Elephas maximus indicus: one gene and its partners. The protein of the gene in region 2 interacts with the protein of the main gene of each other region in a pairwise test. Links are inferred from orthologs where the notes say so. Each region holds a gene or a part of one and is shown on either strand. Other genes may lie near its edges.

Region 1 (6,861 bases), about 9.1 Mb from region 2:
TCATCTTGAGGGCAGGCCATAAGAGGTATGCTGCCTCTAGAGCATTTATAAACAATATTAAAAACGAGTAAAATTTTGTCCACTTTTTATTATCATCATATGCAAACAATTCTAAATGTCAGTGGTAAAATATTCTTCCCAGCTGGGGCTCACCACACCCAGTGCCTCCCTTAGTAGATCACTGGACCCCAAGAACCGTCCCTCTAGACCAGGGCTTGGCAAACCATAGCCCATGGGTCAAATTCCTCCCACAGTCTGTGTTTGTAGGGCTACAGTGCAAAGAACAGTTTTTATATTTTTAACGGGGGGTAAAAAAAACAGAACAAAGAATAATAAGCAACAGAGAACGTAGCTCTCAACGCCTAAAATAGTTACTATCTGGTCCTTTAAATAAAAATGTGTTGCTCCTTGCTCTAGGCTCCAGGAGCTGTCGAAAGCAAATGCCCCCAGAACAAAAGAAGCCGGAAGGCCAGGATCACCTCCCTGCTCTGCTGGTCTCTGGTAGTTTTGCACTGTAGTTAACCACGTACATTTCATTTAATTGTCCACATATTTTAGTTCTCAATAGGAGGGCTGGCCTGAATTATCTGGTCCGCCATCCCTTCTTTTCTATTCAAGTAAAAATGAAGTGGGCCTAAAAGTAGAAGGAGATAGAAGATTCCAAGGCTTTAACATTTTGTTAAATTTTTAACTCCTGTTACCTCCTCCTGGAGTCCCTGGGGGTGGTACAAACAGCTGCTAACTGAAAGGGTGGAGATTTGAGTCCACCCAGAAGGGCCTCCAAAGAAAGTCCTGCTGATCTGCTTCTGAAAGATCAGCTGCTGAAAACCCCATGGAGCACAGTTCTACTCGGACACACATGGGGTTGCTACGAGTCAGAATCGACTGGGCAGCCATTGGTATCTTCCCCTACTATATTTTAGGTGGCTTAGAGCACTACCTCATGAACGACTTTGTAGGCCATGGTTGGGACTTTGGGTTTTATTCCAAGTATGATGGGGAGGATATGAGTCGGAATCCACTGGACAGCAGTGGGTTTGGTTTTTTTTGGTCATGACCCACGTAGTGCTTCCCTCGGTTTGAAGCAGAGAAGTCACATGACCTGATTTACATGACCTGATTCACTGGGTTGCCAGATGGAGGCAGACTGGAGGCAGGGATCAGAGGAAGCTATCCCAAAGCTCCACCACACTTCAGTCCATTTGTCTTGCTGTGGTGGCTTGGGTGTTGCTATGATGCTGGAAGCTAAGCCACCAGTCTTTTAAAGACCAGCAGTGTCACCTGTGGTAGTCGGGTTTCAGAGAGCTTCTAGACTAAGACAGGCTAGGAAGAAAGGCTTGATAATCTATTTCTGAAAATCAGCAATGGATCACAACAGAATATCGTCAGATAAAGTGCTGGAAGATGAGTACCCTAGGTTGGAAAAAAAATACACAGTGACTTCAACAATGGACTCACGCACATCAACCATCCTGAAGATGGACAGGTCTGCAAGGTTTACACAGGGTCACCATGAGTCAGAATTTACTCAAGGACTGCAACTCACAACATGCTAGCTTAGGCATCTTGGACAGGGATGGACCAGGAATCACGTTGGAGTTGGTGAAGAGGTCAGGCAGTCACATAAACTGAACACTTCTCGGGGTGAAGACATTAAGAGGCAAAGAGAGATTGCCAAACAGGTTTGGGAGGCACAGTCCTTGCCCTCAGCTTTAGTGTTTTAATTACAAGAAACCCAGACCACACACCTAAAGGTGCCATATAAATACAAAGCAACCACTGAATCAGTGCATATTAGATGGCTAAATAAGCACAAAAGGGGAACTGGAAAAGAGGCCAGATGGAAGATTGTGGGACCTTCTTCGGCCATGAGAGGCACTCGGTTTTCTACAAGCGACAGAGGGTCTAGGCAAGGGCGCTGCACCCAGCGTGGCTGCCTGAGCTGCAACATCTAAGAACCTAGCTTCAGGCCCCGGTTTCTCCACTCCTTCGGAGCAGTGGAGCCAGTGACTCAGGGGAGGTCCCTCCCAGCACGCGGTGTTCTGGGCTGTGAGTGACTCACTGCCTCGCTCCCTCCCTCATGGGTGACCCCGGGCCAATCCCTTAATGAGTCTACAACTCACCCTTCTCTTCTGGTCCGGACAATTGCCTGGTGGAGGTTTTAGCTCCCCGGGGGCAGGGCTCCTTCTGCAACCCTCTAGGTTCCTCGAGAGAAGCTTTCCTAGGGTCTGGAGGCGCAAAACACCCTTGGGCAGACCCAGGATCCCAGGCCCTACCCGTGCAAGGAGGTGGAGGGTTTATCGCCCCTGCCGGCACATTCTTTTAATTTCAAAGCCATCCAACAGCATTTCATCTCGACTACAGTTTCGCAAGCATTGATGTCTTGGAGGATGTTTTTTTCTTTTTGGATAACTCCTTGTAAAAACTTGCTTGTTAAAAAAAAAAAAAAGGCAACCAGAGTTGTCCCCAAAGTCTACATACAAAGCAGAGAACAGAGGCACTGGGAAGAGACCGAGCGGGGGCTGAGGAACTGGCCTTCGGTTCTTGGGGGATCTGGGCGGCTGGATGCACCGGCTCCGCGGGGCAGGAGGAAAGCGCGAGAGCTTGTGGGGCTAGAGCTCCGTTCGCGGGACCATCCGACAGCGGGCGGGAGGAGCAGGGAGAGACCTTGGCTCCCCTGCAGAGCCCGCCGGCCTGATGCTCGGGGGCGCGAGGGCATTGAGGGATGAGGGGTCACTCGCCTGGGTCACGGGTCCCCCGCCCAGCGTGTCGGCGCCCCCTACCTCTTGGAGCACCCCGTCGCACCAGGCGAGTCCGCGTGTCCCACCAGGGGCAGGAGGCGGCGCCCGCGGTCCTCCCCACACTCGGCCACCAGGGTTCCCGGCCCCAACGCGGCCAGGCAGGTGAACCCAGGCGGGCGCATCCTCCTTCTCGCCGGGGACCCTACCCCAGCCTGGAGCGCCACCACGGCCCCCTCGCAGCCTGCGCCGCCGCGCTACCAGCCCCGGGAAGTCACTGTGCGCAGCCCTGACTCCAGAAGGGTGGATCCGGCTGAGCCCAAAGCCACATTCCTAGGGGAGGGGTCCCCCCAGGGTCGCGGATCACGTTACTGGCCAAGGGCCGCAGTCAGCGGGAGAGAGAACTAACGGCGGTGGGGAGTTGTATTTAGCGTTATTACTTTTTTTTTTTTTTTAACGCGCTTGGAAGCTGGTTGACTCGGGGACACGGCGTCCGCGCAGGTCCCGGAGTCTGGCGGCCCCCGAGCGATTTGCCAGGACAGAGGCACCTTTCTGCCTGCGAATGCGGGCGGCCACGAGCCGGCTGGGCTGCAGGGGCTAGCGGGTTCCCGATGTGTCCCTCCCCCCCGGGAGCCCTGGAGCCTCGAGTGCCCGGGAGCGGAGACGCTTCGCCGCAGGAGCGCGCGCCGGGCACCAAGTACAAGGAGCACTAACAGACACACAAATGCGCATAAATAAATCAATGAGCAGCTCTCGGCTGCCAGTGGCAGGGAAACCTCGGGCTGATTAAATGCAGACTTGGGGCGTTTGCCAAGGCAGGAGGGCGGCGCGGCAAAAGGCACCATCGTGGAGGCGAGGGGTGGGGGGAAGGGAGGCCAGGGACAGAAAAAAAAGAAAAAGGAAAATCCAAAGCCACCTTTTAGCAAAGGGGGCAAGTTTTAAATGCAAACCTCCCGGACGGGGGGGAGGGGCCGGGCTGCTGGCGGAGGGTCCAGCCCGACACCGGGGGCAACTTTCCGGCGCGGGAGGTGCGGCCGGAGGGGGCGGCGCCGGCGGCGGGAGGCGGGAGTCGGGGGCTGGGGTGGGGAGTCACTTTAAAGGCTCTTTCTTACCCATAATGCTTTGTGGGGACGTTGACAAGTGGATCCAAGATGGCGTAGAAAGTAATGACAGGTAAGTCCTGACTTCCCCCTTCTCTGCTGCCGGGACCGCTCCGCCAGCTGCCGGGGCCCTCCAGGGGGAGCCTGACCCTCCTCCTACCCCCCCAGGCCCCTAGAGGGGCGTCCCGGGGGCGGGCTGGGGGCTGGGGCGGCCCGCGGCGGGGCCTGGGGAGTGGGGCTCTTCGAGGCGAGGCCCGGACGCAGGGGCTGTTTACAGCTCCTTCCCCTCCTCTGTCCCCTTTCCCTCCGCGGGGGGCCGTGGCGTCCTCGGCCCGGCCCCGAGAGGGGGCCTTGCAAACCCGGCCCGGGAGCCTGCGGGAGGTTTTCCCAGCCCGGGGCACTCCGGGAGGGGGAGTCGAGCCTTCTTGCACGCTCTCCTCCTCCGGGTCCCGGCTGGGGGTGGGGAGCGTGCGGGCCTCCCAAGCCCCGCTCGATTCCCCCTTCAGGGCTTGGAGTTCCAGGGGCGTGGGGTGGGGCGTGGCGGGGGCTGGGGCGGGGTGGGTGTCCGGAAAAGTGGGTCAGGGGCGCGCCCCTTCCCTCCCCCGCTGAGGGTTGTTTGCCCGAGATTGACTTTCTTACCCCTTTCCCCCGCCCCTTCCTCGGAAATTCTCATTGGCCCACAAGCGCATCCACGAAAATAAAAAGACTATTCCTTTCTGAAAATTTCTTTTAAGAGTCGCCTTTTCAAGGCCTGAGAGACTGCAGTCCTGTCTAGGGAATTTTGATTCCTCTCCCCCCAAATCATTTGCTCCTTCTGCACCGTCCCTGTGGCTGAGTATGCTTAAGGCAGGCCTGGAAGCCAGGATCTTCTGATTCTTCTTGGATTGGGAGCCTCAGGTTTCGTTTGGAACTCAAAAATTGTCCTTCCTTCCCCTTCATAACTTACACTTTTCAAGCAAATCATTAATGTAATAAAAAGTACAACTCTTCCTGGATCGGGGACGGGAGGAGGGGTAATTGTCCTGGCCAATTTGTTCCTAACGTTGCCCTCTCTTGAGCTCATATTCACGAGGTTTCTCCTGTATTTTTTTAAAGTAAGGTCCATCAGTGCCGAGATGACTTTTCTGGTAATGTTTCTGATTTTAACAACATTTTATGATCTATCTCACTGAAAGGAAAATGTTTTTTTATTTTTAAGTAGAAGAAACAACCTCGTTTGCAAAGCTGCATACTGTATCATTTTGGTAACTTTTCCATTTGAAATTTAGATGCCCTTTCACTTCAGGCTGATAATATGGTACGGATAATGTCTTTAACTGGTGGTGTATAGACAAATTTTACTTTTTTATTTGCCTCAGGAATTGGATGAAGTAATTGATCACTAATGAACTACAGTGCTGGTGAGATGTGTAAGGTGAGGCTGCAGTTAAAACATTATCTATTTTCCGTCTTTATGTTAATCATCTCAAAAGGGTAAAGCTGAAACTTTAAATTCAATTTGATGGACCATCTTTATTTTCCAAAAATATCACTTAGTCAAGTGGGTGTATAGAGAGGGCCAGGTTTAGAAGGGAAAAATGTGTCCAGTGTGTACCAAACTTTTCAGGGGCTCCAACAAATTCAAACCTAGTGGAACTTATCCAGAGCCAACTGTTGTGTGCAGCTATCCTTGATCAGTATCTTCAACAGGGGTAATTATAGCTTGCCTATTTAAATTTCCTTGTGTAACTGTAATGGGGTGTCTTAAGTTTATCTGTGTTTTGGTTTCCATAGCTTACTTCAAATTGAGTATTAGTAATTGTGGTTGTGGGTTTTGTGCATCCATAGCTTGTGGGACTCTTGTAAAGTACACTCTATTGGAAAGAATTAGTTTATGCAAATCAGTCACTCCTACTTTTATTTATTGAAAAGTGGAATAGTACCTGTCTCTCTTACACTTTATTTTGACATAAAAACAATAGTGTGGAGTTCTGTTTAGCTTCTTAGGGAGAAGGCTGATTTGCCATTATTTTCTGGCCACACTTTGCGTTTGAATATTTGGAGAAACTGAAGGTGATGCTTTTATTTAAAATAACTTGTAATGCTTTGGATTAAAGGACATTATTAATCTAGTGCTAGTGAACAGCGTTCTGTGCTGGGTGGGAAAAGAGAGAGAGAGGGAGAAGTTTGCTAATTTTATATTTTTCCAAACAGCCTTTTCTTTACTTCAAAAAATATTTTTATTATGGCTTATTTAGAAAAATGTAAGTAATCATGGTAGACTGATAACTGCAGGTCTTTTTTTTTCCTCTTTAACACATCTGGGCGGCCCCTGGATTTTGAAATCACGTCACAAACTTTTCCTATCTATTAAAACACCTGTTTAGGAAGAATAAACTGTGTTTATTATTATTTTTTAGATTTAGGCATATAATTGACATTTTGTCTTAAAAAAAGCTTGGGAGAGGAAGATGAACATAAACCAAGATACTTTTTAAAGTGCACACGCCACATTTGCTCATGTTGGACACTCAGCATTGCCTGTGTGTATTATATATAATTTTTATTTGTATTTTTGACAGGGAAAACATCGATTTTTTTTTATCTGTATTTTTTTTTTTCCATTTTGCAGATAGAGGCATATTCATGCCTTATGCCACCCAATTTCAACCTTTTATTTTAGTTTTAGAAACTTACAGATCACTTTGTGATAAGCAGCCAATGATCTGCTGTTTGGTTGTGGAGGTGTTCATTTGCAGCCTAAAACCTAACATTTCTAAGTCGCTAATCTTGTGCGTTTGGCCTGAAACGTGCCAATGCATTTTCCATAATTTTCACACAAGTAAACCATGTGAAGTGTTAGTATCCACTTTAAAGTGAAGTTAGTAGTTGGCCACCAAACAACTTGGTACACAAAGTATTCTGTAATAGGAAATAGCATAGTACTGAAGGTTGTGGTGAAGTTGATGTCTGAGTCTTTGAGCTGAATAAAGACATAGCTTTTTTAGTCTGTCCTTTTGGCTGGGAAGCTAGGACACTATTTT
Region 2 (7,810 bases):
AGGACACTGAGGACAGGAAGTCAGGGGACTTGGTGTCCCTAATGTGGGGCTAAGTATCAAAGGCGACCCTCAAAGCCTGAGAGGTGTACGAAGCTTTGGCTCCCAACTTGAGAAAAGGAAATTCTAGATTAGTATTTCCAGGTCAATGGGATAAGTGGGAGTAGAATTTCAAACGACCAGGTTTAGACTGTCCTTGGCTGTCTGGTTCCTCCCACAGAGAAAAGCTCAGAAATGTGCCTGAGATGGTCTTGAGCCTACTTCTAGGGGAGAAGGTTAGATGTAAGGCTAATTGTATACAGGCCTCCAAAAAAAAAAAAAAAAAATTGCGGTGGAGCAAATTTTGACTGAGGGCGACCCCATGTGTTGCGGAGTAGAACTGTGCTTCATAGGGTTTTCAATGGCTGACTTTTTGGAAGTAGGTCTTCAAGGCTTTTTTCCTAGCGGCCTCTAGGCCAATGCAAACCACCAACCTTTCATTTTGTAGCCCAGCCTGTTAACCGTTTGTACTACAGACCTTCACAGACCTCCAAGGTAAGTAAATTTCAGGGCAATATCCAGTTTTCACCTCGAGGTGGCAGTACCATAACTCCCAGAAAGCAAAGCAAGATACTCTACCTGTCGACTAAAATGAACCGCAAACCCCAAAGAGAGACTTTTTGATGATTAATTTATGCATTATGAAATAACTGATGTAGCCAGTTTGTAATCAGCAAGTTTCGCAACAGTTATAACAGGTTTTCACATCAGGGCGTGACTTTGACTTCACAGCTTGCTTCTTCCCTCGTTTTCAGAATTTAACGTTGGCGGCCATACGCATTCAAAACACTACTGCCTCTTCTGTGTTTTCTCTGTGGGGAATGATCTCTGGCAATGCTCTCTCAAGCTTCAGAGTCTGCGTCTGCAGAACAATAACAAAAAGTAATGAAAAGATAATGTAGCACTGTTTTTTTTTTTTGGTCACCCACAATTGCTCCATTTCAACACAAATATTTTTATTTTTAAATATTCCCTTCCAAATCTGGTCCATATGCATATAATTTTACATAGGAATACTCAGAGACGGTTTTATCAATGCTGCATTTTAAAAGGAAGTACATAACTTTTTTTTCTGCTCTCTTAGGCATCTAGTCTCTTCTGAGATCTTACTTCCTTAGCTTCAAATACCATCACTGCACAGAAGAGCAGCCACAGGTTTATCTCTAGTCAACCTTCATTCTTCAGCCATCTATCCATGTGTTCATTCATCCATCTACTTAGTCACTCTGTGAATCCTATTTTGTACCAGGCACTGTGCTGGTTGCTGGGAATACAAACATGAAAAGGTGTTTGTCCTGGAGCTTGCAGACCATTAGGGGGCAGGAAAGCAAGCAAATAGTAATAATGCAGTGAAATGAGATGTATGATGGGAATTCTGGAGAAGGAGCCCTAAGGCTGACTTGGAGAACTAAAGAAGGGGAGAAGGCCAACCAGGCAGAGGAAACAGCATGTGCAAAGATAAGGACACTCAGAAGATCTGACACTCTCCGGAAACCACAAAGGGTTTAGTATTGGTGGAGCCTGTGTTGGGGGAAGGGGGGAAGGTTGGGTTGGTTGAGGAAAGGTGGGTGGGGCTGGGGAACAGGGGCCAGATATCAAAAAAACAAGGGCCTCAGAAAGGACTTGAGATACTATCTTGTAGTTGATAAATATCTCAGTTCCAATTGATTTTCCACTCTGCAGCCAGCATGACAAAGAATTTTGAAGTATCTGACCATGGCCCATCTCTGCTTGAATATCCTAGAGAACCAAGTTTCAAGTCTTCAGCAATGCTGAAAAGGCCCCACATGAGCTCTCTGACCTCCAGACATATGCCACGTTCTTCTTCCCTTTGCCTTCTTCTTCGCAGCTAGAACTGGCATCCTTGAGTTCTCTCTTACTGTCCGGCCCTTGCACATGCTGTACCCTCCATCTGGAATACTCGTTCCCTCTTAGACTGGCTAACCAGGGTCTCAGAGCCTCTGCGTGGTGCTAACAGTTAATGCTCTTGGCAGCTAACCAAAAGGTTGGAGATTCAAGTCCACCCAGAGACACCTCAGAAGAAAGGCCTCGTAATCTACGTGATAAAAGTCAGTCACTGAAAACCTATAGAGCAGGTTGAGGATTGCGGTCTCGGGGAACATCTAGATCAATTGGCACAGCATAGTTCATAAAGAAAATGTTCTACATCTCACTTTGGTGAGTAGTGTCTGGGGTCTTAAAAGCCTGTAAATGGCCATCTACATATATTGGTCCCATTCCATCTGGAGCAAAGGAGAATGAAGAAAACCAAAGACACAAGGAAAATATTAGTCCAAAGGACTAATGGGCCACATGGACCACTGCCTCCACCAGCCTGAGACCAGAAGAACTGAATGATGCCCAGCTACCACCACTGATTGCTCTGGCAGGGATCACAATAGAGGGTTCCAGACAGAGCAGGAGAAAAATGTGGAACAAATTCAAATTCACAAACGAGATCAGACTTATTGGTCTGACAGAGATTGGAGGAATCCCCAAGACTATGGCCCCTGGACACCCTTTTAACTCAGAACTGAAGCCACTCCCGAAGTTCACTTCTCAGCCAAAGATTAAAAAAAAAAACAAACCCAGTGCCGTCAGGCCTATAAAACAAACAGTAACACACGTGAGGAGTATGCGTCTTAGATCAATCAAGTATAGGAGACCAATTGGTCAAAACCTGACCCAAAGCAAAGACAAGAAGTCAGGGACAGAAAACTGGAAGAATGGAAAAGGGGAACCCCAAGAGGAAAATGGGGCAGGGCCGACACACTGCAGGAATTACAATCAATGTCACAAAACAATTTGTGTTTGAATGAGAAACTAATTTGTTCTGTAAACTTCCTCCTAAACTGCATTAAAAAATAAAAATAAAAAAAGAACCTATAGAGCACAGTTCTACTCTGACACACAGGGGGTCATCGTGAGTTGGAATGGACTCTATGGAAATTGGTTAACTGGTTATGGTTTAGTCCTTCCCTTCCATGTCTATTTTTCTGGCCGCCATTCTAGAACAGAGTGTAATAGTGGGGGGGGGGGGAACATGTGTTTTTGAAACAAGATGGGTTCAAATCTTGGGTCTGCTATATGTGGTTTCTTTGGGTAAGTTACTAACCTCACTATGCCCCAGTTTCTAAATTTGTAAAATGGGGATATTAACCACTCTATACATGAACTGGGAAACCCTGGTGGCGTAGTGGTTGAGAGTTCCACTGCTAACCAAATGGTTGGCAGTTCAAATCCACCAGGCGCTCGTTGAAAACCGTTTGGGGCAGTTGTACTCTGTCCTATAGGGTTGCTATGAGTGGGAGTCAATTCGACAGCAATGGGTTTATACATGAGCTGTGACTTTAGTACATATCAGGTGCTAAATAGATGGTCCTCTTGTTATTACCATCTCACGTCAGATATCTACTTACAAACCATCAGAGGTTGCACATCACTTAAACCTAAGCTAAGCTTCTTGGCCACTATCTCCTTATTCCTTCCCCAAATCCTGGGCTATGGCCAGTCTGAAATATTGGCTGATCCATCATTTTTCCTCTCTGCTTTCAAATTCCAGCTGAAACACCACGTCCTCCCTGACTACTTCAGCACGAGAACTGTAATGGCTCCCTCCTCAGCAGTCCTATAGGTCGTTCAGTGGTACTTGGTGCCAGCGACTTCGACTTGCAGACTAGGCAACTCTTCTCTAAATCGTAAACTGCTGAAAGCGGAGGTTCTGTCTGGTTCATCTTTTAGCCTGCAGAGTGCATTGCCAGCAATTGCTGATCAATAAATATCTGGTGAAAGAACAATTCCTCTTCCTTATTTCAATAGGCTTATTTTCTCTATAGAATCAGATGTTTGGTTATTCTCATCACCATGCCATTTTGCCGGTTTCCAGAGAGCACATTCACGTTAGATGTGTTCTGTTGCCTCCTTTAATTGGAATACGCGTTTGGAACTGAAAAGAGGAGTTTTTTCTCCAAGTCTCAGCTTCTGCCACTCCAGGGTACTCACCCGCCTCGTGCAACCATCGAACTACTTAGCATAGCACAGCACAGGACATTCTCTCCCGCCTCTGTTACCGTTGCCTGGGATGCCCTTACCCTGGCGAACTCCTACTCGTCCTCCAAGACTCAGCTCAAACGTCACATCACCTTTTCTGTGAAGGTTTTCTACCGTGGGCTGAATGGTGACCCCTCCTTCCATCCTTTTCCCGTTTTCCGCAATCCCCAAATAATTACAGCAGTGCTTATAGCATTATTTGCTTACTTTTGTTCAACTTCTCTAGGCTGTGGATTCCTCGAGGGCCGGATTTTTGTTCGTCATTGTATCTTATATACTTAGCACATAGTAGGCACACGATTCCATCAAAGTGAACCAGAGCGTTAATTCACCCAACACTGCAGTTTGTATGGACCGGACTCTCAAACATTTCAAGACCTGGTTCTCTATTTGGAGAAGCTTCATACTGCAGGGAGCGTTTTTGTTTTTGTTTTGTTTTGTTTCATTACCTTGGGTTGCTGAAAGGGAAACGGAAAGTGATTACGGTCTGGCAAGAAGTACACCTTCAGGTCTGAGGCGTAATTTACTCGCTCTGGCACCGAGCGGGTTACAGCGGCCCGGGGGCGGAGCCAGCCCGGTGCCACGGGCTGCGGGGCGGTCTGACGCGTGCGCCCTGGCACGCCGCTCGGCTCCATTCGCGGAGGCCCGGCCGCGGAGGTGCGCTTGCGCTTTGGGCCTCTTCCGCCGGGGGGAGTCTCGCGGGGGCGGTACGCGGCAGTTCTCGCGGGACCCCGACGAGGAGCGGAAGCGAGGCGGCTCTGCTGCTTCTGCGACCCGGCGGCTGTGGGGGTGACGGCGGCGGGAACAGGAGCTGCCCTCGGGGAGTAGCAGCGGGATCGGCGGCCGCTCGCACCGCTCGGAGGGGCCGGTCGGGCCGGAGCGGAGTCGCTGCGCCACGGTGAGTTCGGGCGGCGTCGCTCGGCGCTGCTCCGATGCTTCTTCCTCCCCGCTCGGCAGCGGGAGGCGGCACCCGGCCGGGCCCGGGAGTCCGGGCGGGCGACGAAGGGCGGAATCCCCGAGGTTCCGACTCCATGCTTCCCTTTTTGGGGTGGTTCCTTTCTGGGCACCGTCCTCCCACGGCTTTTGGCTCTGGGCAGAGTCGCGACCCGGGGGAAGGGGCCGGGGGCTCTCTGGGTGCCTCTCGGTTAAATCTAGTGCCTTCATGGTGAGGGTGTGCGCAGATGGGGCCCGGGAGGAGCCGGAGAGGCCCTGGGTGCTAATTCTGTGAGTCAGCCTGACTTCGCCCTGGAGGTGGGGGATCCGGATCAGGCTGCAAGCGCGGGGATGCTCCTGCGACCTGAACGGCCACCACGTCACCATCTCTCGGTGTCTTTGGCCCGAATTTTGCAAGGGAATCCACTAACCCTGTTAGTACCGGGAGCTAGAACGTTTGCTGCCGGAGCCAGTAGAAAATCAAGCCCAACCCGTTGCCGTCGAGTGATTCCGACTCATAGCGACCCTATAGCGAGAGTATAACTGCCCCACAGTGTTTCCAAGGAGCGCCTGGTGGATTCGAACTGCCAACCTTTTGGTTAGCAGCGGAACTATTAACCACTACGCCACCAGGGTTTCCGGAGCCAGTAAGGATGCCCTTTATTTCTATCTCTAACTTTTCGAGCGTCTCTTTAAAAAATATGTCAGGAAAAATAAGCAGCAGTTGGCTGGCACGCTCCGAGGAAAGATTTCGGCCAGAGGGAAGTCCTGGTATTTGTCGTTGGGAACGCTCTGCGTGTATATATAGCTGTAAACTATCTGACTTACGGCTTGTTTAGAAACTTATCCAAGGCTGATTTCAAGTGTTATAAAAATGCAATTTGCAGAGGAGCTGAAGTGCACTGGAGGTCTAACTTTGGGTGCTGTTGACTCGGAAAAGAGTCAAAGAGACGAGAGAAATTAGCGTTAATCTATTTTGGCTTTCTTGTCTGTCGTTGTGCTTTTTCAGTTATTGCCTTCCGTTTATTGCTGCTTCTCTCACTTGCCCTACAGACGCTAAATGCTTACTTGTGTAATGCAAGTCATTTGCCTCCCCCCCCTTTTTTTCTTCCCTAACCTACTTCCCCTTCCTCTTTCCTCTCCCCTCTCGGTACAGTTTTTCTTTCAAAAGAGGTTTCTGCCGTTGGGCGCAGTTCGTTTTCTCCCTCATTTAAAGATCCCGTTTTCTTGCACGGGAAAACACCCGCTTTCCTGCTTTCATTCCTTTACTTTTAAGCTTCCACTGTGTTCCTTCAGTCAGCCAGCAGGGTTGCTAGAGAGCCGTGTGACACTGGAGTTCTCCCCCTGGGAACTGGTAGGCTCAAAGAATTGAATTCATCAGTAAGCAATCGATACTGCCGCTAGGTCCAGGTGTGGTTTGCTTCTGTTACGTGTGTTTTCGCTTTTCCTTCACTTTATGGTCGTGTTTTTGTGCCCGCTTTTGCTTCTCTTCCTGTGTGTCTTTTATACTTGTGAGGAAGATGGGGTCCATTTGGGGCTTAGATGACTTCTTTATAATTTTTAGTGGGGGTGGTTAATGCTAAAAGATGAAAATCGGTTATAAACCTGTGTTAGAATAAAGATGAGAAAAATGTATGGGAATAAAATTTATTCAGACCATTGATAAATCAGTTAAAGCCAAGCCAGTGTGATTGTTGTCAGTTGCCATCAAGTCAGTTCCGACTCACAGCGACTGAACACTGCCGGTCCTGCGCCATCCTCACAATCTCTTTGCTGTGCTTGAGCCCATTGTTGCAGCCACCGTGTCATATAAAAACCAGAAAACCAAACCCCTTGCTGTCGAGTCGATTCCGACCCATAGCGACCCTATAGGGCAGAGTAGAACCGCACCGTAGGGCTTTTAAGGAGTGGCTGGTGGATTCAAACTGCCGACCTTTTAGTTAGCAGCTGTAGCTCTTAACCACTGGGCCACCAGGGTACTTCTTTTTTCTTTATCAGACTCCTTTCTCTATCTGTTGTAATTAGTCGTTTTTTTTTTTTTTGCCAAAAAGAAATACCTTGATTTGTTCTGTTGCCCCTTCCGGTGTTTATAATTTATGAATCCCAAGATTAAAAAAAGACATTAATTCTTGTAATCAGCCTTCTTTGATGCCAAAATCAAGCGTTTAAATAAATGTTCGAGACAGTTTACTTCCTCAGCAAGTGTATTCAGATTTGGGAGGCGTACTTTTTAAAATTTTTGAATGGTATTAGTTTTTTTTTTAATTTGAATGCTATATTAGTTAATGATAACTTTTCAGTGTTTCTTATTATCATGTTGGCTGTGCAGCAAGTGTGTTCTAATTGTTGCGTAAATGAGAAGAGTCACGTATTTTGGAGAAATGGGGTTAATACAGAATTGAAAACCACCATACTCTCCTGAGAGAAATGAAGTTCCCTGACTCCAGAAGTATCCTGCAGCACTACTGAATGACCATTGAGATGCTTTTCTTTTTTCTTAAATTTGTCGAGGCTGCCTTTTTCCCAGTTGTGCCAGTTGAATACATATTATTTTCACTTTATGCAAAAACATTGTAGTATACTATCAGGAATGCAAATTTTAACATTTGGTTAAGGCACCCTTTTGTAGTACAGCAGCGATTCTTAAAATTTGGTATGCGTAAGAATCACCTGGGGAGCTTATTTAAAATCAAGTTTTGGGCCTAAGGCCACTATGTTGTAGAACTCCAGGGGGCACCCCACGGTAAATCAGTCTCTGAATGGGGTGATTTGGTGCAGATGGTCTGTGGGC
Region 3 (6,922 bases), on a different chromosome or scaffold from region 2:
GGTTCTTGGCTACATTCAATTACAAACCAGATTAATTCTCTTAATCATTATAATTGTCATTATAGGATTAATCAAATGTTTTATGAAATATTTTTCAAATGCAGATACTCACAATGTGATACTACTTACTGTGCAAAAGACCACGTATTTTGAAGAAAACAGCATTTCCTTAAAAAATAACTTAGCTCTTCACCTTGGCCTGTGTTCCCCCGCCAAGGTTTCCCATGAATTCAACCATGCTCTTTTTTTTTTCTTATACACCCCTTCTTAAAAGATCACAGAAGCAGAGATCCAAGCTATGGTACGGTGGGTGCCTGGCTATCTGCATGATAGTGACCAGGGTCTTGAAGGCTTATGAAGGTAAGTGGCCACCAATAAACAGATGATGCCCAACTATATGTCTGGGGTCTTAAAAGCTTATCTAGAATAGGGAGCCACCTAATAAACACACCATCTATAACCAACGAAAAAGGCCCTTGTAGAAGATGAGTTTCTCCTTTATGGGCTACGTGAGACCAGCTTACCCTGAAGATGAAGCTCCATACATAGTAAGGCAAAGAGTTGGTAAATCCATGCAGAAGAAGGCACTTTTCTAATAATGACCAGCAAATTTCTATAGACATTCTTAATCAAAAAGCTGGTAGGAGGAGAGGGGGGAAGAGAAGCTGTGAAAGAACTTTTTAAAAAATCTAGGTGCATGGCATGAGGAGAGGCTTCTGCCAAAATTGCAGGTTGGACTCCATTTTTGCTCTCTACTGCTTATTCTGAGACATTCAAAAGTCAGCTAGCCAGCATACCCCAGGAAGTCTGCAGCCTCCACTTCTCCCCCTACCTCTCACAGTGTGCTCCCAAGAAGAATAGTCACTCAGGCTGGTCCCCAAAATATCCACAGATTAACAAGATGTTAACTGACTCAGACTTTATGATTAACAAAACAATGTGTATGGGATCTTGAAATTGTCTAGCGTCTGTTAAAACATGATTTTGTAAATGTCAAACAGTCAGAACTTTTTCCTTGTAAGTTCCTGGATTTTCTGTACTTAAATTCTGTGAAAAATTCTTTCACTGGAGTACTTTCGTGAATCCTCATGGAGTGCTGCCTGATTGGGTTGCTTTGTTCCTTCAATAAAAGTCTTTGCTTTAATTTTAACAGAAACTCCAGTTTGCTCTTTGACAAAAGTTTCATCATCCTTGCTTCTAAGGAGAATTCTGGTTGTATTTCTTCTAAGACTGATTTATTTATTCTACTGGCAATCCATGGTATATGCAATATTCTTTGCCAATACCACAATATGAATGCTTCAGCTCTTCTTCTGTCTTCCTTTTTCATTGTTCAGCTTTTGCATGCATATGAGGCGATTGAGAAGACCATGATTGCTTGGGTCAGGTACACCTTAATCATCAAAATGACATCTTTGCTTTTTTAAAACTTTAAAAGAAGTCACATGCAGCAGCTTTGCCCAATGTAATACGTAGTTTGATTTTTTGGCTGCTGCTTCCATGGCATTGATTGTTGACCCAAGTAGAATGAAATCATCAACAACTTCAACTTATTCTCCAACCAAATAATAAAATAAATGAAATAGTGACAAGGGCTATGAATCAATAAAACAGTGCATGTGATGTGCAGGAGAGTGGAGATGCCAGAGACAAGTATATCAAGTAGCTGAGGAAAGTCCTTCTGAAGAGCTGACTTCTGGGATATGAGCTGAGTGCCGAGACTCGACCATTGGGGATTTTTCCAGGCAAAGGGAACAATAGCTGCAAAGGGCCAGAGGCAGAAACTGGACGAGCCTTGGGTGCGTCCCACTGCTTCTGACCACTGAAAGAGTTGCAGGAAAGATGACAAACTTGGGTCTAACACTGAGGTCTGGTCCTTACTTGGAGAACCAGTACCAGTAGCTGTTGAGTTGATTCAGACTCATGGTGACCCCATCTGTGTCGAAGTAGAACTCTCCTCCATAGGTATTTCAATGGATGATTTTTTGGAAGCAGATTGCCAGGTTTTTCTTCGGAGGCATCTCTGTGGTTGAACATGAACCTCCAACCTTTTGGTTAGTAGCAAAGTGTGTTAACCATTTGCACCACCCAGAGAACAGAAGCTGATACCCAACTTTCAGTTCTGAAAAGGTTCATTTCAAGCTTTTGTTTTCACTCACGGGCAGGTTGTTCCCCTTTCAAAGTCTGAGTAAAGGAATCTGAAACACAGCAAAACCACCAAGTTGTACCCTCTAGGTAGAAAACCCCCAAATGTGGCATTTCCATGGAAAATCATAATGAATCATTCTCACTGGTCACCCTGTCTAGGCCTGGCTGGGCAGAGAATAACTTCTGTTTTCCTAAACTTTGTCTTCTTCAGACTTTTTAACAAACCTCTCAATGTTCAGACTCAGGTTAAGAACAAAACCCCAAATTCCGTGAGATTTGCTGGGTTTCAGGTTTCACCAGAAAGGGGTTGCTGCAGCCACTAACCTTTTGTTCTGCAGAGAGCGATTTCTGAAGGACTGCAAAGAAAAATAATCACCCGGTGATTAGGGGGGAAAAGGAGTTCTAAGGGGAGAGACCGCTGGCCCAGGCTTTGTAGGAAGGTGGGGACATGCACAGTGCCAAAACCAAAAACCAAACCTGTGGATGTGGAATCAATTCCAACTCACAGTGACCCTACAGGACAGAGTAGAAATGCCCATAGGGTTTCCAGTCTTTACGAAGCAGACTGCCACATCTTTCTTTCTTGAACGAGCTGGTGGGTTCCATCTGCGCATCTTTTTTGGTTAAGCAGCTCGGGGCTTAACTGCCCTACCCGGGCATACCCCCCAAATTAAAATTCTCCTTTCCCTAATCGTTCTCAACTACAACGGCAACAATGGTTATCATTTATTTGCATGTTTGTAATGCGTCAGTCATTGTCTAAATACTTGGTCACCCCATCTCAGGTTGAGGACACTGAGGCTCAGAGACGTTAAGAAACTTGTCCAAGGCAAACAAAAACAAAACCCACTGTCACCGAGTCGATTCCGACTCAAAGCGAGCCTGTAGGACAGAGTAGAACTGCCCGGTAAAACTTCCAAGGAGCAGCTGGTGTATTCGAACTGCCGACCTTTTGGTTAGCAGCCATAGCTCGCGGTAGCTCTGAACCACTGCGCCACCAGTAACACAGCTAGAAAAAGGCAAAGGCCAGATTCCAATCCAGGTTGTGGAGTCTTGTGTCCATACTATTAACCACTATCCTATCCTGACCTGGAAAGGCCCTGTCCCCCTTCGCATTGGGCAAAAATGAGGAAATTAGGAGAGAGGAAGCGGCGAAAGGAGGCTGATAGATGTAGTCATTTTTTAATTGAAAGTCGGGGTAAAGGAGAGGGGATTGCAAGTCCAGCCTCTGAGTGAAGGGAGAGGGGTCGAGACATTTTCCGGGGTCCCGGGCCTTACAACGGCCCTTCCCAAGGCCAAGGCTGTATCTGGATAAACCCCACCCCGCCCACCTCTGCGCGAGGAGATGGCGGGCCCGCGGCCCGTGGGGCCGAGGACGGTGGGCGTCCCACCCCGCCCAGTGCGCCCCCGGTGCCCGCCGCGCCCCGCCTCCGTGCCGGCGGCCCAAGGGTTAAGGCAGGCGGGCGCCCCCCGCCGCGGCGCGCCGCCGGCCGGGAATGCTTAGTCAGGATTCCGATTTCCTGTCGAAGTGTTTGGATTTCCTGGAGCCCGCGCCCTCCGCGCCGCGCGGGATCGTCCGAGCCGCCGCGCGTCCTGCGGCCTCCCGCCCCTCCGCACATGGTCGCCCGCCTCTTCTGCGCCGCGCTCGGTCCCGCGCCTGGCCGCCGCCGCCGCCGCCGCGGGCGGGCACTCTGCGCTCGGGAAGCCCCCGGCCCCGCGCCTCCCGCCCCGCGGGTTTCCACAGCTGCCTTCCTCTTTCAGCTCCGGGAGCCGCGAACGCCCGGCGGAGGGGTGCCGGGGCGCGGGCGCCCGCCATGGAATAATGCCCAGCGGCCCGACGGTCCCGGTGAGTGGCGGGCGCCCGGGCGGGCTCAGCGGGACCAGGCGGGGGTCGTCCTGCGCCCCCTCCCCGGCCCCCAGCACGGAGCGGTTCCGGGACCCTGAGCCTGGCGAGCCTGGGTTCCATTTCCAGCAGGGCACTCCCTCGGCGGGAAGGGGGCACTCTGGGATCTGGGGGGGCGCGGGCGCCAGATGGGCTCCGCAGAGCCGGGCGAGGCCGAGCAGAGCCTCTGCGTCCCCTTCCCGCAGGGGGCCCAGGCGGCGCGCCTGGCGGCCCCCGCTCACAAAAGCACCGAGGTGGGGCGGGTGAGGCCACTCGGGCCATTCTGCGCCCCCCTCCCGATGTGGTGACGGGACTGCGCGCCCCGGGCCAAGGCGCGGAGGCGCGGGCGCTGGCCGCTGCATTGTCTCCCTGGCGCGGTGGAGGAAAGTTCCCCGCGGTTCCTGGGAGGGCCGGCCCGGCCACCGCCTGCAGCCCCCGGCCCCCGACTCCAGCCCGGGCACTACGCTGCCAGGCAGGCCCCAGGCCACTTGCTTAAAGCAAATGAGACGAAATGAAATGGGAAAAACCCCACTTGGGGCTTGGCGTTTGCTCAGGGAAGACAAGGGAAGTGGCTTGTGTTTTACCCTTTGTACCGTTTTGGGGACCTGCTGCGTTTTCTGAGAGACATGAAGTTTAAAAGAAAAAAGCAACTCGCTGGTGCCCGGCCTTCTGCGGTTTCGTACCTCCTGAGAGTTAATCTCGGGCACTCCTTAAGCGGTTTCCTTTAATAATTTCTTTTTCCACTAGCTCAGGGAGACGGACAGCCAACTCCAGACCATGGATAAGTTGATCTCAGTTTTACCTATACTAATCAGAAGGAATAAGAACTTTCTCCACCATGTATCCTTATAACTGGTCTGATTGTCTTAGCATAATTGATGCCAGTCAGTGGGATGGCAGCCAGGGACGGATTGCTGAGTAATGTTTTGGAACTGTAAAATTTAACTCAGTTTTCAGGCCTGTTTTATTTCTTTTGCAACCTGCATCCCAAGACCTTTCCGTTTCGCAATTGGAGGCCCACGGTATAGCATCCAGAAGATCCAGGCCTTCTGGGAACATCCAGCCTCAACAGTTTAGAGAGAAAAAAGGATTTTAGAGGAAATCTGGCCCAGCCTCTTCTTGCACAGAGGAGGGGCCCTGTGACTTGCCTAAGGATGCACAGCCAGCTGGTGGCAGGACCAGGAATAGTCTTCAAGTCTGGAGACTCCCAGGGTTGTATTCTTTCCAGTAGGGCAGATTATGGTCTGTCAGCCCCAGACTGGGCTTTCGAAATCTGTCTTATTTGCATCATAACCTTTATGGCTTTAGTGCCTTCTCTTGTTTCGTCTTACCTGTTCTTGCTGCTATTTTCCAAATATGCAGTTATCTCAGACTGCGTATTTTGAGATAGGTTGTTAAAAATTCTCTAAACCTTCCTGTTCTGAGATTCAGCACTAAATGGATTTGAAATGTACAATGCGTGGCTTATTATATGGAGATTATGGGAACTCCCGAGTCCAAAAAAAGGCAGTATCTTTGCACATAGTGTACAATATGATGTTCTCTAGACTTGATTTTCAGCCCTCCTGTTTCTTGCGAGCTAAGCAGTCCGTCTATTCTCCCCATGAGAGCTCTGAGTGGCTGGTTTTTCATTTTCAGTATGTGATAATGTTGGAGAGAAAGGACTTTTTTGAGAACTTGGCATTTGGTGAAGGAAACTGAAATTCCCTGCACTTCCCCAGTCCTCATCACCCACAGTAAGTCAGAGTTTCACAATCAGTCCGAGATTTTGGCCCCAAAAATGGATGTGTGTGTTCAAATCAGACCCTCCCTCATGAGGACCCCTTGCAGCAGGCACCCCTGCACTGTGTCCGGGTGGCTGAGGTCTGGAGGACAGAAGGAAGTACGTGTTACCTAGGATGACGTTGTTGCTAATTTTTCCCGCCCGATTCTCAGCTGTATTTGACTGAATCCTGCTGCCTTGTCCTCATTATTCCCTCTTGTGTTTCCTCGACTCACTTCTTGCACAGCCACTGTATCTGGCGTGGGCTGGGGAAGAAGTCCTTTCTAGGGTTTGCACAAATGATCACCGCCTAAGCAGTGACATCATTAGGGGGTTGTGGCGGGTGCAGACCACACCAGGTGACACTGTCAGAGGGGGTGACACCCAAATGACTTTCTGTGAAATTTTTGTGCAGTGTTTCAGCATGAATTTATTATTTTTAATAAAAGTATCCCTGTAGTTAGTTAGAACAACAAAAACATTTTTCATAAGCCCAGCTTATGTGTATCAATATACCCACAAGGCTAAAACTTTCTGAATCTCCTAATGCGCTCTGGTTGGATCTGTCATTATTACCCAATTACAATGACACTTTGAATCACGTGTTTTCATCTGCACGCATTCGAAGCACGCACTCTTGCTGCTGGTGTTTTTTTAGCTGCTGATTTTGTCAAATTTTCTGGTGTTTTAGTTACAATATTGTGATAATTAGTATGGGATGGGGGGACACCATGAGTTACCGCACTGCACTGGGTGATACCAACCCTAGTGATGATGATGGGTACATTTATTCAGCGCTTGCCATATGCCCCAGACCTGTTACTTCCTAAGAAGTCCCAAGGAAGAGAGAGAACCCATTTGGGAGTTCCATTTGTGCCCAGAAGAGCCTGCACTTCTCAGAATCACCTGGAATTCAGAGTTCTTTCTTCCACAAACATTTGCTAAGTGCAACCCCTCCCATGGGAGGTACCAGTCATGCAAAGATGAATTTGTTGTGGACCGTTGAGTCAGTTCCGACTCACAGTGCCCCCATGTGACAGAATAGAACTGCCTCATAGGGTTTCCTAGGTTGTAATCCTCATGGGAACAGATCACCAGGTCTTTTCTCCCACACGTAGGAACTGCTGATG
Region 4 (7,366 bases), on a different chromosome or scaffold from region 2:
AGAGGATAAGGAAGGCAAGTATATTTGTGTAGTTTTTTCTTCAAATGTTAATAGGGTGGTTTATTCACTGGCACAGAACTTTTAAGCCATCCCACTAAATGGCAGAGAAGAATGTTTTCAAGTCCCCTTGGGCAGTACCTTAGCCATTTAGCGCTGCTGTAACAGAAATACCACAAGTCAAAGCCTTTAACAAACAGAAGTTTATTCTCTCACAGTCTAGTAGGCTAGAAGTCTGAATTCAGGGTGTCAGCTTCATGGGAAGGCTTTCTCTCACTATCGGCTCTGGAGGAAGGTCCTTATCATCAATCTTCCCCCAGCCGAGGAGCTTCTCAGGCACAGAGACCCTGGGTCCAAAGGACGTGCTCTTGTTCCAGTGCTGCTTTCTTGGTGGCATGAGGTCCACCTGTCTCTCTGCTTGCTTCTCTCTTTCATATCTCAAAAGAGATTGTCTTAAGACACAATCCAATCTTGTAGATCTTGTCAACCTAAGTGCCGATAATCCATCTCTTTAACATCATAGTAATAGGATTCACAGCACATAGGAAAATCTCATCAGATGACAAAATGGTAGACAATCACAATACTGGGAATCATGGCCTAGCCAAGTTGACAGATATTTTAGGGCGGACACAATTCAAGAAATTCCACCATTTGGCCCCCCAAAATTCATTTCCTTGCCGCACGTAAAACACATTTACTCCATTATATCACGGCGAGTCTTAACTCAACTGCAAATCCAAAATCCAAAAATTCCTTTTCGTCTGTGAAATCTAAAATACAAGTTATCTGCTTCCAAAGTACAATGGTGAAACAGGCACAAGCTAGACATTTCTATTACCAACGAGAAAACTGGAGGGAAAGAAGGGGTAACAGGCACCAAGCAAGTCAGTAGAACACATTACATTAGCTCTCAAGTCTTGAAAATAATTTTCTGTTCTCTGAGACCATTTACACAATGGCCCTGCCCTCCAGACTGTAGGTATTAGCCACACTCTCTGGATTCTGAGTGGAGGCCCCTCCGTCCTGGGCTTCAGCTCTGCCTTCCAGGATCACTGGGACGGCAACTCTGTTTCCTCAGCTTTAGGAACACTATTCTCCTAGTCCATCTGAATGACAGCTCCAGCCTTAGAAACACGAGAGGCCATGGTTTTGCCTTCTGAAACCCCAGAGGTTGTGGCCATACCCTTTAAGACTGAGGCAGCTCAACTTTCTGTGTTTCTTGTCTCCTTAGCTTTTGCTTCCTGGTTCCTTGGCCTCTCAGCCCCTCAGGTTTCACAACCACATCTGCCCTGCTGGGGCAAGTGTTCCAAACCTCTGTAGTTCCACTGGTAAGTGCCTGGAGGCACCACACTCCGCCAGCAAACTTCAGCCAGAAGGCACTCAGCTCTCTTGCTCTGTGGGTGGCGCAAGCCTAGCTCTACTCTGCCAGGAAGCCTCCTGTGCAAAGGCACGCAGCTCTCGCGCTCTGTGGGTCAGCTCCAGTGCCATCTTGCATTGTTCTCCTGATTCTGCCGCTGCTGCTTCTCTGCCACTTCTTGCAGCCTACGCCACCTCCAGTGTAACAGATATTCTCACGTCCTTCTGAGTCCTCTATCTACTCGGTTTCAAAAGTCCTTCCACATTTTAGGTATCTGTTAGAGGAGTACCCCACTCCTCGTACCAAATTCTGTCTTGGTTATCTAGTGCTGCTGTAACAGAAATACCACAAGTGGATGGTTTTAACAAACAGAAGTTTATTCTCTCACAGTCTAGTAGGCTAGAAGTCCAAATTCAGGGTGTCAGCTCCATAGGGAAGCTTTCTCTCTCTGTCGGCTCTGGAGGAAGGCCCTTGTCATCAATCTTCCCCTAGTGAGGAGCTTCTCAGGTGCAGGGACCCCAGATCCAAAGGATGTGCTCTGCTCCTGGTGCAGCTTTCTTGGTAGTATGAGGTCCACCTGTCTGTCTGCTTGCTTCTTTTATATCTCAAGAGAGATTGCCTTAAGACACAACCCAATCTTGCAGATCCCACCAACCTAACTACTGCTAATCCATCTCACTAACATCATAGTGATAGGATTTATAACACATAGGAAAATCTCATCAGATGACAAAATGGTAGAAAATCACAATACTGGGAATCATGGCCTAGCCAAGTTGGCAGATATATTTGGGGGACACAATTCAATCCATGACAGACGGGGAAGCAGGATGCTTGCTCTGCCTTATCCTGCACTGAATACCAAGTATGTGGTTGTCATGGATTGAATTATGTCCCCCCAAAAATGTGTGTATCAACTTGGTTAGGCAATTGTATTGTATTGTATGGTTGTCCTCCATTTTGTGATTGTAATTTTATGTTGAGAGGATTAGTGTGGGATTGTAACAGCACTCTTACTCAGATCACCTCCCTGATCCAAGGTATAGGGAGTTTCCCTGGGGTATGGCCTGCACCACCTTTTATCTCTCAAGAGATAAAAGGGAAGCAAGCAGAGAGTTGGGAACCTCATACCACCATGAAAGCAGCATCAGGAACAGAGTGCATGCCTTGGACACGGGGTTCCTGCACCTGAGAAGCTCCTCAACCAGGGGAAGTTTGAGGACAAGGACCTTCCTCCAGAGCCAACAAGAGAGAAAGCCTTACCCTGGAGCTGACGCCCTGAATTTGGACTTGTAACCTACTAGACTGTGAGAAAATAAATTTCTCTTTGTTAAAGCCATCCACCTGTGGTATTTCTGTTATGGCAGCACTAGATATCTAAGACAGTGGCGAAGCCAGGAAAGAGTCAACATGTAACTTTTTCACCTCAGCAACCACTCACCTCTGATAGTGTAATGTTTATTCTATTTAAAGGGGGGGGAATGATTTATCATGGAAAGCAAACTGTGGGTTTAAGCCTTATCACAGTCATCTACAAGTTTGTATAATCTTGCCAAATTAGTTAATGTCTTGGTACACATATCTGTAAAACGCAAATTATTACACCCTTCCAGTTTTGGAAGAGAGTTGAGTGTGGCAAGTACATGAAAACACCCTAGTAGACTCTCAATTTTTACTTGGATACACAATTAACAGCCATGGAAGCAGCAGTCAAGAAATCAAATAAGTATTGCATTGGGCAAATCTGCTACAAAAGACCTCTTTAATGTGTCAAAAAGCTAAGATGTCATTTTGAGGACTAAGGTGCTCCTGAGCCAAGCCATGCTATTTTCAATTGCCTCATATGCATGCGAAAGCTGTACAGTGAATAAGGGAAATCGATGCCTTTGAATTACAGTGCTGGTGAAGAATATTGAATATGCCATGCCATAGACTGCCAGAAGAAGGAACAAATCTGTCTTGGAAGAAGTACAGGCAGAATGCTCCTTAGAAGTGAGGATGGTGTACTTTGGACATGCTATCAGGAGGGATCTGGAGAAAGACATCACGCTTGGTAGAGAGTCTGGGACAAAAAGGAATACCCTCAAGGAGATGGATTGACATAGTGGCTGCAATGATGGGCTGAAATGTAGCAACACTGTGAGGATGGTTCAGGACTGCGCAGCGTTTCATTCTGTTGTACATAGGGTCGCTGTGAGTCGGAATCCACTATAGGAAGCCTAACAACATACTGTCAATAACGTAGTTTGCCCCTTCCCTCGGTGTGTCTATGAAGGTCGCCAGCTGTTTATACAACCATGTACTAAATAGAACCATCACCTTCCCTTTTGAGTACTGATCATCCCTCAGCTTTTTGCTGCTCAGTTGTTCAGTCTTTTTCATTCTTCCTAGCAGCCAGTGTCCAGAATGGGGGGAGTCACTTCTGCCTCCGTTTGCTGAGTTGCAGGGTTTGGAGTGGGCTTGAGCGGTGGTTGGAATGCCGAGTAGTTGTCAACTCCTGCCTTTTCCACCCTCCTCTGTGGAACTCTCCTGGTCTACATACTTAAAGTTTAGGCTACTCAGCATGACGTGAGCACCAAATCGGTCTCTTTCCAACCCTTATTAGAGATTTTAGTGCCATGGTGGGAAGTGGGGGGAGGGTACCGACTCCACGACTAAGAGAAAGAGGCATGAGCTCACACTGCAACTTTGGGTCTCCAGGAAGGGCCCTGAGCAAGGACGGAGTCTGAGCGCCCGGCGAGGCTGCAGGGCGCGCAAGCGGTCGGACGGGGGAGCGAGAGCTAAAGCTTGCAGAGCGCGCCAAGCCCGCGCGCCCGCCGCCCGGGCCTGGCAGATGACGCCGCGCCGAGCCCGCCCGCCGGCCGGGCTGCAGGGCCGGAGCCCGGCGAGGCCCGGGCGGAGCGGAGGGCGGAGCGGGCGGCGCCGGGGAGGCGGGGGAGGAGGCGGTGTCTCCCTGAGCTGCGCAGGCGTTGCTCGCACCTTGTTGATTAGTCAGTGCTGGGAGCGCTGCTATGGCGTTTCTCAGACCCGCAGCTCCTCCTCAAACGCTCGAGGCAGAGGGAAGGAGGGATAAGAGGAGGAGGCGAGCGGGCAGCCGCCGCAGCTGCAGACCCAGGGCCAGAGGGGGAGGCAGAGCGGGAGCCACCGCAGCCTCTCCGACCGCCGCCGTCCGCTTCAGCCGGGCTGCTTCGAGTCCTCCCCGGGTTTGAGTGCACTGGGGCGTCTAGCCATGCCCCGCAGCAGCAGCTGAGCCGGAGCGGGCCCCATCCCTCCAGGTCCGCTCAGCCGCGGCGCCCCCGGGCTGCCCGCGGCCGGAGCTTCCCGGCGTCTCACGCGCGCCCCAGACCGCGAGCGCAAACAGCGGCGGCCGCCGAGGCGCGGTGGTGCCGGCGGCTGCGGAGGGAGCGTGGGGCAGGAGGAGGCGGGGAAGATGGACCCGGCGCTTTCGCTGGGTTGCAGCCTTAAGGATGTGAAGTGGAGCTCGGTGGCCGTTCCGCTCGACTTTCTGGTCAGCACTTACCGGCTGCCCCAGATCGCGCGGCTGGACAGCGGTAAGTCCCGGCTGCCCCGACGCGCAGGGGAGACGGGCGGGGACCGCAATCTGGGCGCGGGTGTGTGCGCGTGTGCCCGAGAGGGTGGGACCGGGTGGGGGAGTGGGCTGCCAGCTCCCTGGAGTTGGCCCGAGCGGCCACCGCAGCCCTGGCGCGTTGCTCTCAACTCCCCCCAGCAGCCAGAGATGCGGAAATCAGAGCCCTCGCAGTATAATTGAAAAGGACGCTTAAAAATCAACATAGGGGAAACCTATGCAGATAGTAATCTTGGAGGCGAGCTGTCCATCCCCACCCGCCTGCAAGAATTACACAACCCGGGAAACCCTAAAGAGTTATCTTAGGCAACTTTCTTACGAAAATAATTGTGCTCTGGGTGGTATCTTTATTTTGGGTGCAGCCGCAGATTTAAGAGGAAAAGCTCCTGGGTGACCAATGAAAGGGATCATATTTCTCAGAGACCTTTTATTACAGCTTGTCTTTTTTGTTTAACCGAACTGAAAGTAATTTAAGGCTGTGTGTAGAAAATGTTTGGAGCAGAAGTGATGGTATGCTTCAGGTTAATTATTAGCTTAGCGCATTTCCAGCCTGGAAAAAAAAAATTAAGTCACCAAAAAATTCATTGGAACCTGAGCTCAGAACTAAGACGCTCTTGTATTTCCTGAAATTGACCACCAGAAACCAACCAAACATCCCCTGTTTGTTCTGCAGTGTGACATCTGCAAACAAGTAGATAGATGTGTATACCGTCAAACAAGTAGACACCTTTCAGTTTGAGAGTTATGAAATGTAAGGTGGCAATTTAGGCATGTTTTGCCTTCTCCTGTGTTTTCAGAATAACTTCAGTTGATTTTGGCTTCATTGGATTCCAGGCTGTTGGCAGAAAGAAGCCTCCTCTCCAGTGGGGCAGCTGGAAACACCTGGGCCCAGGCAGGCAGGCAGGATGATAGAGCTGTGGCCACGCAGGCCAAGTCAGAAGTGCACTACTGTTTCAATCACAGGGACTTGGGTTCCTCTTTGTTTTCTGGAGTAAGAGTGTGTAACGTGAGATGTAATAGATGCCCAAAGGAATTGCTAGTCTCGTTCAGTTGGTGGTGGTTGTGGTGGGCACTGGGAATGAACTAAGATTTCTAAAACCTGTGATGAACTGGGGATGACAGTAGCCATTGAATGGATGAGGATTGGGGAGACAGGTGTTCTGTTGAGGCATTTCTGCTTAGAATGGGGGTGGAAAAGTGTTTCCTACCTTAAATATGTATATGGAAACCTGACCCTGGTGTGCGTGTGTGTGTGTGTGTGTGTGTGTAAAATCACAGTATTTCATTTCCTCCTCCGCTGTGCAAAACTGTGTATATTGGAAGGTTGTGAGTCCTTGCCTTGTCCAGCCTTCTCTCAACGTTGCATACTCTGCCAACCCATTAGCTAGGCAGAGAGCACTGGTGCAAGTGGTGTGAAAGCCACCCAAAAGCTTCATTAAACTGGAAGTTTAAGAAGGCTGAATAGCAGTTCCAGATAAAACTTTAGTTTTATTGTGCACATTCCTGTCCCTGCCATTCATAAAAAGGATCTGACTCAGCAGAGTACTTATCCCACAGCTCTTTTTAAAATTAGGATATGGGCAGGAGGTCTTAACACTGCGTCCTTTCACATCATGTACTGGATTTTGAGCTGTGTGTAAGTCTGATTCTTTATTGTAAATTTCTCTTATTTTTCTTATGACCACTTGAGAAGCACAGTGCCACACAAGGATTTAGAATCATAGCCAAGGACTACTTTCTATCTTGCTCCTTTCACTTGACAATCCCATGCTGTTTTAGTATCTTTTGCTAATATGATTTTTAGTAGAAATCAGTTTCCATCAAGTCGGTTCTGACTTGAGTCAGAGTAGAGCTGTTCTTTTTTTCAGGAGTAGACTGATGGGCCTTTCTTCTGAGGTGCCTCTGGGTGGATTCGAGCCTCCATTTAGGTTAACAGCGCTTTTCCATTCGTACCACTTAGAGACTTCATGATTTTTAACAGCTGCATAATATGCCACAGAACAGCAATACTGTATAATCTAGCCCCCTTTTGTAGACGTCATGGCACAAATGGCTAGGTGCTCGGCTACTAACTGAAAGGTTGGTGCTTTGAACCCACCCTGAGGCACCTCAGAAGACAGGCCTGGTAATCTGCTTCAGAAAAAAAAAAAAAAGCCATTGAAAACCTATGGAGCACAGCTCTACTCTGAAACACACAAGGTAGCCATGAATCAGAACTGACTTGATGGCAACTAGCTTGTTTTTTTGTATTGTACACATTAGTTTGCTTCAGCTTTTTGCAATTATAAGTAATGATACGATGAACATGCTTGTATATAAAGCTATTTATTTTGATTAAGATATATTCCTAACTTGCTGAGTAGAACATGTGAATCCTTTTCATATCCTTGATACACACTATCAAATTGCTTTAATAAAAGGTC

The links.
Region 1: the proteins of GRB2 (region 2) and HELZ interact in a two-hybrid assay, tested with the Homo sapiens proteins (2 studies listed by BioGRID and IntAct). The link is inferred for Elephas maximus indicus from reciprocal best matches to the Homo sapiens genes GRB2 and HELZ.
Region 3: the proteins of GRB2 (region 2) and ASAP1 interact in binary tests that used the Homo sapiens proteins (3 or more experiments, as listed by UniProt). The link is inferred for Elephas maximus indicus from reciprocal best matches to the Homo sapiens genes GRB2 and ASAP1.
Region 4: the proteins of GRB2 (region 2) and GAREM1 interact in binary tests that used the Homo sapiens proteins (3 or more experiments, as listed by UniProt). The link is inferred for Elephas maximus indicus from reciprocal best matches to the Homo sapiens genes GRB2 and GAREM1.

What each region holds. Positions count from the first base shown.
Region 1 is NC_064837.1:56,636,777-56,643,637, forward strand, and holds the start of HELZ (probable helicase with zinc finger domain), read left to right. Parts: upstream 1-3,847; 5' UTR 3,848-3,911; intron 3,912-4,395; exon of another isoform or gene 4,396-5,252; intron 5,253-6,861. UniProt on the Homo sapiens protein: May act as a helicase that plays a role in RNA metabolism in multiple tissues and organs within the developing embryo.
Region 2 is NC_064837.1:65,722,144-65,729,953, reverse strand, and holds the start of GRB2 (growth factor receptor-bound protein 2), read left to right. Parts: upstream 1-4,795; 5' UTR 4,796-4,984; intron 4,985-7,810. UniProt on the Homo sapiens protein: Non-enzymatic adapter protein that plays a pivotal role in precisely regulated signaling cascades from cell surface receptors to cellular responses, including signaling transduction and gene expression.
Region 3 is NC_064833.1:12,929,867-12,936,788, forward strand, and holds the start of ASAP1 (arf-GAP with SH3 domain, ANK repeat and PH domain-containing protein 1), read left to right. Parts: upstream 1-3,908; 5' UTR 3,909-3,994; intron 3,995-6,922. UniProt on the Homo sapiens protein: Possesses phosphatidylinositol 4,5-bisphosphate-dependent GTPase-activating protein activity for ARF1 (ADP ribosylation factor 1) and ARF5 and a lesser activity towards ARF6.
Region 4 is NC_064829.1:39,925,095-39,932,460, reverse strand, and holds the start of GAREM1 (GRB2-associated and regulator of MAPK protein 1), read left to right. Parts: upstream 1-4,352; 5' UTR 4,353-4,787; coding exon 4,788-4,908; intron 4,909-7,366.